2 linked regions of the Tamandua tetradactyla genome follow. The protein of the gene in region 1 binds, or shares a complex with, the protein of each later gene. Links are inferred from orthologs where the notes say so. Each region holds a gene or a part of one and is shown on either strand. Other genes may lie near its edges.

What was found.
Region 2: the proteins of SLF2 (region 1) and SIMC1 are in contact, whole or in part, in a cryo-EM structure (PDB 7T5P), measured with the Homo sapiens proteins. The link is inferred for Tamandua tetradactyla from reciprocal best matches to the Homo sapiens genes SLF2 and SIMC1. Residues at the interface, in NP_060591.3 of Homo sapiens: His738, Val772, Leu775, Lys778, Asp783, Phe786, Gln790, Gly791, Phe792, Thr794, Ser795, Ala796, Tyr797, His798, Tyr799, Cys820, Ile821, Gln825, Ser828, Met831, Glu832, Ile835, Arg836, Asp838, Thr839, Ser841, Asp842, Ser843, Pro847, Lys919; in NP_001295125.1 of Homo sapiens: Tyr426, Arg428, Leu431, Lys435, Leu438, Pro440, Val442, His443, His444, Leu445, Phe447, Gln448, Arg470, Arg471, Phe490, Asp493, Pro497, Val521, Asp522, Lys525, Glu526, Tyr528, Met529, Met532, Lys533, Gln536, Leu537, Arg571, Asn658, Gln661.

What each region holds. Positions count from the first base shown.
Region 1 is NC_135339.1:62,477,372-62,481,117, forward strand, and holds the start of SLF2 (SMC5-SMC6 complex localization factor protein 2), read left to right. Parts: upstream 1-1,234; 5' UTR 1,235-1,414; coding exon 1,415-1,554; intron 1,555-3,746. UniProt on the Homo sapiens protein: Plays a role in the DNA damage response (DDR) pathway by regulating postreplication repair of UV-damaged DNA and genomic stability maintenance.
Region 2 is NC_135346.1:57,621,325-57,625,070, reverse strand, and holds the start of SIMC1 (SUMO-interacting motif-containing protein 1), read right to left. Parts: upstream 2,516-3,746; 5' UTR 2,378-2,515; coding exon 2,249-2,377; intron 1-2,248.

The DNA of each region.
Region 1 (3,746 bases):
AATTTCAGGTCAGTCAGGCATGCCTAGCTACAAACGCAGTTAAATCTCAGAGCAATAAACTTTAAGGACCTGTCCAAATGCTTTTGAGTCATTTAAGATTTCATACCATCCAAATGATTGAACAAGCCTGTCAACTAGAGCTCGGGTATCCTTGAGATTGATATTCTAGTTGTAATAACTATTATAACAATATTTGACCTGTCTCTGAAAGTTTTTGTAGGAAGTTAAACTCAGTGTAAGAGCCTGTCTAGAAACCAAACGAAGGGGAACTATAATTTCATGAGTATCCATTACATGAGAAATTCGAATGAGCAGTTCACATCCCTTATCTCTTTTTATGGCTTACAATTACCCAGACAAGTGAGTATTAAACCCATTTTATTATAGATATGGAAACTGAGGCTGCGAAATAATCTTAGCAATCTCTTAGCTAGTAAGGAAAACCTTAGCTAGCAGCCTCCAAAGCACAAGCCCTTTACAAAGGAGGATCGGAGACTTGGCAGCTTTTGCTAATAAATGCTGTCTACACATAACCTGAATAAGTGAAGAGTGACATCATGTTCTTTTCAAAGACCCCAAGGAAGACGGCTGTAAAGACTTCATGGATAACTCATTTCAGCAGCCGAAACTCAAAATGTTTTTGTGGAATACTGTCTTTTTTTTTCAATGATTTTCCCCCCTTCTTAATAAGAGAGGGGGGTAAGGGACGTATCGTATCACAAACACTTAACAAGTACGCTCTCAGAATGGGCAAGTCTTCAGATTGGACTGCACACTACGAAGGAAAGGCTGACAGCATTAGGGCACCCTGGCCTAAAATGCTAAAGAGGCGAGATAATGAACAGTTGGGGGTTTCTAATGCACAATTGTGTGGCACAGGAAGACCAACTGTTGGCCATCTTTCACAGACGACAGCTGCCCGGCTCGGGTTTGCCTCTGCAATCCTCGCCCTCCGCCCTCCACCAGGCGGGTGTCGCCGGCTGCTGCAGAGCCCGCGGCCACCCGAGCCTCCCCACCCCGGCTCACAGCTGAAGCCGACGCGGCCCAAACGCTGCCCCGCGCGCCCCCATGCACGTGACGGGATGGGAAGGGGCAGTTTTCCTCCTCCCCTCCTCCTTCCAGAAACTCCGCCTTCCCCTGAAAGATGCGGCTTTCTTTTGCGCCACTACCGGAATGGCTGCCGTGCCAGCCAATGAAGATGCGACGCCTGGAGTAAGACCCGCCCATCTTGGTCTTCAGGTTCCTTCCCGCTCACACGCGAGTCACTTCCGAAGAGAGAGACCCGCCATGAAGAGAGAAGGGGGTGCCGCCCACCTCTGCTCCGACAGCCTCCCCAAGATCCAGCAGCAAGACGGCAGCCACGCATCCAACTTCTCCAGCCACAGCTCATGCCGCCGTCGCCTGCGGCGCCGACATGACAAGGCGCTGCATGCTCGCTAGGCCAGGTTTCCCCTCATCCCCAGCCCCGGGGTCGTCGCCCCCGCGCTGCCATCTGAGACCCGGTAGTACCGTCTCTGCTGCAGCGGGAAAGAGAACAGAGAGACCTGGGGACAGGTACCGTGCAGAGGGCATGAGAAGGGGCCGGGTCGCGGGGACAAGGGTTTGAGGGGAGGACAGCGGCCGACCACTTTTCCAGTTCCCGCCATCCTCCGCGATCTCAGGCCTCGGCATTTCGGAGCCTGGCAAAAAACCCCGCCCCGCCTCCGCGCGGGGGTTTCTGGGAGTGCGAGTTTCTTTTTCTGTAGTTGGGAAGCAGTTCTTGGTCTAGTGGTTATAAGCCTGCGTGGCTACGGGGAATCCGCCTTAGGTAGAATGTGATTTTTATCCTTTAAGATAGCTTGGCCCGAGGCCCTACCCGCTTAATACATTATTTACTTGTTTTTTCTACATTGTAAGTTCCTGATCCCTGTGGTTTAACACTATAAACCTTTTCTGTAGTGTGGGTGAAGTTATGTAAGATGTAATGAGGGTAATCTGTCCATGAATTACGTTATAGTCCAGTATACACGGTAAATCATACTTAAAAGAACATGCAGGTTTGGAATGTGATGTGTTTTCTTTTTCAGTAACTTTACACCTCCCCAGAGGCCAATTTTTTTGTGAAGATTTCCTAGACCAACTTTCTGAGAGCTATGGAGAGTTTTATCAAATGACTTCCTAAATAAAACATGTTTAAATTCTATACGCACTTGGTACTGTCTTTTTTATTTTAAGCTTAAAAATCTCATAGCAGAAGTTTAACAGAATTATGTTCTAATATCGCAGTACAGGTCCATAATCCCTTATCTTAATTCGGAAGCTAAAAAACTATGAAAACCAAAGCTTTTCAGTAGATTTAGCACCAAATCTCATTGAGCAGCCAAACTTGACCAGAGCTAATATATAGCCGTTTATGGTCTCTATCAAGTGTGAATAGTCATAAGTTTTGCTGGAGAAATACTAATGTTTGATTGTGGGGTACAGCCCCACACCCTATTGGGGGCTTTACATAATACATCCAAAGTAAGCCCTTTGTAAAATGTGATAAATTCAGAATTCTAAAACATATTTGGTCCCAAAAGTTTCGATAAGGGTTTTTGAAGCTATTGTGAATGTTGGCTATTTGTGTTTTTAAGAATTAGTTATAAGTAATTAGTGGGCATTTCTGTGCATATGAAGTTAGGAAACTATTCCTTCTTGAAAGTTACATTCATGGTTATTTTACAGAATTTCTTGTATGTGTCACCCAAAACTCTGTAATCCTTCAAAAAGGAACTGAAATCCACTATTTTGGAAAAAGTTATTTAAAATTAATATAAAAACCTTCACCATTATCTTGCTTTGAATTAACTGCTTCGCTGACCTTTCCCATCTCTTTTTCTTCAACCAGTAACCAAAGGCTCATCCTTCACCCCTCTGCAGGCCTCTAGCATTTCTTCCTTTACTCTCTAGTAGAGTTCATTTGCCTGATATAATTTTTTTTTTTTATTTATTTTTTTGCATGGGTAGGTACCGGGAATCAAACCCGGGTCTCCGGCATGGCAGGCAAGAAGTCTGCCTGCTGAGCCACTGTGGCTCGCCCCCAATATAATTTATTTTTTGTGAGCAAATGCACAGATTCTTCCTTAGCCTGACATTCATATTCATTTCATAACCACTTAGCATTTCTACAAACATTTTGGATTCTTAGTTAACCATTACCCTTCTAATGTGGACTTCTGCATTCTTCTAATGTAGAAGCTAAACCCTCAAGGGACTTGGACTTTTACGTTTTTCCTGCACATTCCAATTTCATACTGGATGAATGTTTAGGGAATCCTCTAGTCTACTGCTTATCTTCTTTCAGGTAAAATTAGCACGAGCATAATTTACCAGGAAGTTAATTTTTTTTTTGCTTTGCATATAATAACATTTCCTTTTGTGACACAAATCAGAATACAAATTCTGATAATATGGTCTTTTCTTGCTTTGTGCCCACTTTAGGGTATGGAAATCCTTAAAGATTAAAGCAATTTGGTTTTTATTACCCTTTACTTACTAGTTAACTTCCTTCTCTCTGTTATATTTATGTTTTTCCAAGGTAATATGTTATTTTTGTAACTATCTTTAGGATATTTAAGAATATTTCTAATTAAGAATTTGACAGTAAGAAATTAAATATCCCTAAGAAATTAAGAATTTGAAACATTTATTACTTAGTTATGAAAACTCATTCCAATTTCTACTGTAATTTAGATGAACTCTTATTGTAGTCTGGAAAGAGGGAG
Region 2 (3,746 bases), on another chromosome or scaffold:
TAAGAGAAGTGACAGAATCTGCGAAAGCTCATATAGCTGCTATGTTAGGGGATTTCACTTGGAAAAAAAGTCTCTTGGACCTCAGAACCTTTAGGGAAAGCTAGACAAAAGCGCGTTAGGCTTTATAACCTTGGCAAATATCTTTGTGCCTCTGATTTTTCACATAGTTTTCCTACCACCCTTACCTAATTGGCAAGAAAGAAAAAAAAGAGAACAAAGCTTGGAGTTTTTAAAGAGCTAGAGAAGCAAAATTTAAGTTGGGAACTTGACCTTCATCCCTCTTCAACTCAAAAAGCTCAAGGTCAAAATGCTTGGTTGGGGTAGCCATGGGGGAGGGGAGCAGTGAGAGAGTGCACCCACGTATGAGTGCGAGGGGCCACAGGAGACTGGAACGGGGTGGCATCTGTGTATTGAAGAAGCAAGCGGACCAGGATAAGGGAATATGGATGACATCTGGGAGGGAGAAAAGGAAGCAGGTAGGAAGAAGGACAAAGTGAAAGGGGGACTCAGAAGGGGGAAAGAGGAGAACTAGAGGGAACTGTAGTTGAGTTACTCCACAGGTTTTCCTCCCACCTTTTCGCTACATATCCTCTTTTCCTTGATGATCTCAACCCTCTTAGCCCTTCAGGGAACATCTCTATTTGGATGACTGCCAAGTCTCTCCAGCCCTAACTTTCCTGCAGAGTTCCATTCCCAACTGTTTGACTTCTGACCGGTGGCATCCACCTAATTTCCCACTAGTCCTTAAAATCCAGAAGATCCAAAGAGAATTCAGGATCCTCTCCACCTCAAGCCTGCTCTTGAACTAGCTCTTATTTGCCAAAAACTCATCTGAATTGCTCTCTTCCCCCCATCCTTCAATCATTCTTTCATCTAACAAATACTTATTATGAATCTCTCATCTGCCACAGCACTGGATATATCCATTCACCCTCCAAGGTGGGTCACTTCTACCTTGAAAATCCCTTGTATCTGTCCATCTCCTCAGATGGCGGATTCAACTAATTTTTTTTTTTAACTGAGATTTACTGAGAACGCCTTTTGCTTGAACCATGGCAACATAACACGGTGGGTTAACTGGTCTTGCATGTTATTCATTCGCTAGTGATCACCTGGTGCTTAGTACTGTACCTCAGAAATTCTAGGGGCTCATAGTGGAAGCTTCAGGGCTGTAAACTTGCTGAAAAGGAAACTGGGAAAGCATAGCTAAGAGATTTGTCTTGAAGGAGTGTCTGCATGGGAAATGCACTGTTTTCCTTAAACTGTATGTTCCAGAGCTATACAAATAACATCTGCCTGACAGCTCTTTTATTCTTATTTCTGGGGTGTGGCTCTGGGGGACTGGGTAGATGATCAGAAGGAGGTCTGCTGTTGAGTCTCCCGAGAGAAAGCCTGCCTCCCCCATCCCCACTAAGTAGGTGCTTGATAATCACATCTACAACTCTATTAGGGACCGTGGATGTTGTGTTCTCCATTACGTGCCCAGCCCCTGGAACGACGGGTGGCCCATAGCAGGGGTTCAATAAATAGCTACGGAGTCTTCTGGAAGGGCAGGGACCTGGGATGTTTTATTCCCCAATCCCAGGAAGAAGACCAAGATGAAGGTGGCCTAAGGGAACTGCAAATAGTGCAATATGTTTATTCCCTAGCCCCTCGGTGCTTGGTACACGACAAACGTTTCCTAAGCGAAATAAATCACCGTCCCGCACGACTCCAAAATCGGGCCCCTTGCTCAGCAGCCAGGCCCTGGAGTGCCGCCACCATCTGGCCCAGGCCCGCGCTTCCCTCCCTCCCAGGCACGGCTCCAGTTACGTCCCTGCACAAATCTGTACCCCCAAGCCAAACAATTACACGCTGCCGCTTCCCTCCTCCCGGTCCGGGTCGGGGCTGTCCGCCGGCCAGGACCCTCGGCCCCTTCCCACGCCAAGGCTCGGGGGCGCCGGCGGCCCCCGCCTGAGGCCGTCGCTGGCTGCGGGCTCTGGCACCCCCCACCCCAGACGCGCCGGGGGACCGTCCATGTGCTCGGGGTTGAGCGCTGAGCCCCCGGAGGCCCGGGCACCCCGGCTCGGCTCTGCCACGCTCGTCAGGCAGGAGAGGCCGGGCCAGCCGCAAGGCGGGAAGAGGCTGCAGCTGTGAGGCGCCAGGGGGCGGCGGGCCCCGCCGAGGGCGGCGGCGAAGCGCGGCCCGAGCGAGGGGAGGCGGCGCCGCGGCCGTGGGGGGCTGGGCTAGCGGCGGCTCGCTCACTCACCACGGTCCGCCGGGGCACCGCGCTGGGGGTCCGGGATGGGGCCCGGCGGAGCCTCCGCGCCCGGCTCGACCGGGCCCCTCCGGGGCTCTCGGAGCCGCTGTCGTCCGAGATCACGATAAATTCCTCCATAGCTGCGGGGCCCGACCGAGCCAGCGCGCGGGCAGCGGGCGATCCAGGCGGCGGCGGCGACGACGACTTCGGTTCCTGCTGCTGAGGCGGTGGCGGCAGCGGTGGCGACAGCCCGGGCCATCACCCCCGCCGGTCCCGTCTCCGCGCTCCGCCCCCCGCCGGTCCCGTCTCCGCGCTCCGCCCCCCGCCGGCCCCGCCCTCGCCCCGCCCCCGCCGGCCCCGCCCCCGCCCCGCCCCCGCCGGCCCCGCCCGCGCCCCGCCCCCTTCCGGCCCCGCCCACCGACCGCAGGTGGCGGGCCGCGGGGTCGGGGTCAGGGCCGCGGGGTCGGGGTCACGGCCGCGGTCCCCGTGCTTGGCGGCCCTGCCCGGCCTCTGTCCCCTAAGGAGGGAAGAAAAGAGGAAGAGAAAACCAAGCTGCAGCCGGCTTGGGCCGGTTTTGGGGGCGCGGGCGTGCGAGGCGCGGAGACTGTTTCCAACTGACAGAAGCGGGAGCTGAGATAGGTGTGAAGTAGCTCCTGCCCCGCCGAGGACTGAACCGGCCCCTCGGACCCGCAGGTGACCTGGCCTCGCACTTCCGGGATAGAGGGGTCACCAACAATTAAGGGCGGGTGCCTGGGCCTGTGAATGGCGGTGGAGAGGGGCCTGACCTTCGGGGGTGAGCCACTCTGGCTAAACGCATGTTAGAGGGAATCTGTAGCCGACCAAGTGGGTTTCTCCCGCGGCCCCTGAGGTCAGCAGGCCTGTCTCACCGGGGCTGGAGAGGACACTGTCTGAGTGAGGTAGAAGCAGAGCACGGTGGTTGAGGGGCGAGCTGGTTATAAAGCTCGCACGGTTTCACTTGTCATAGCATGTGGAATAATATTCCACATGAGTACAGGATGCTCCAACTGACTGAGGGTGGAGGACCCAGCCTGTGACGGACCAGGGGGAGAGAGGCCACCCTTCTTTCTGCACATTGTGCAAGTAGATCTGTGGGTAAATTCTTAGAAGTGGAACTACTGGGTCAAGGTTACCTGGGTGTTATTCTTCTTCTGTTTTTTTTTTTTTAACTTATGATCATTCCGTTCTACATATATAACCAGTAATTCACAATATCATCACATAGTTGCATATTCATCATCATGATCATTTCTTAGAACATTTGCATCAATTCAGAAAAAGAAGGACAACAGAAAAAAATTCATACATACCATACCCGTTATCCCTCCCTTTCATTAATCACTAGCATTTCAATCTAAATTTCTTTTAACATTAGTTCCCCCTATTATTTATTTTTATTCCCTATGTTTAACTTGTCTGTTGATAAGGTAGATAAAAGGAGCATCAGACACAAGGTTTTCACAATCACACAGTCACATTGTGAAAGCTG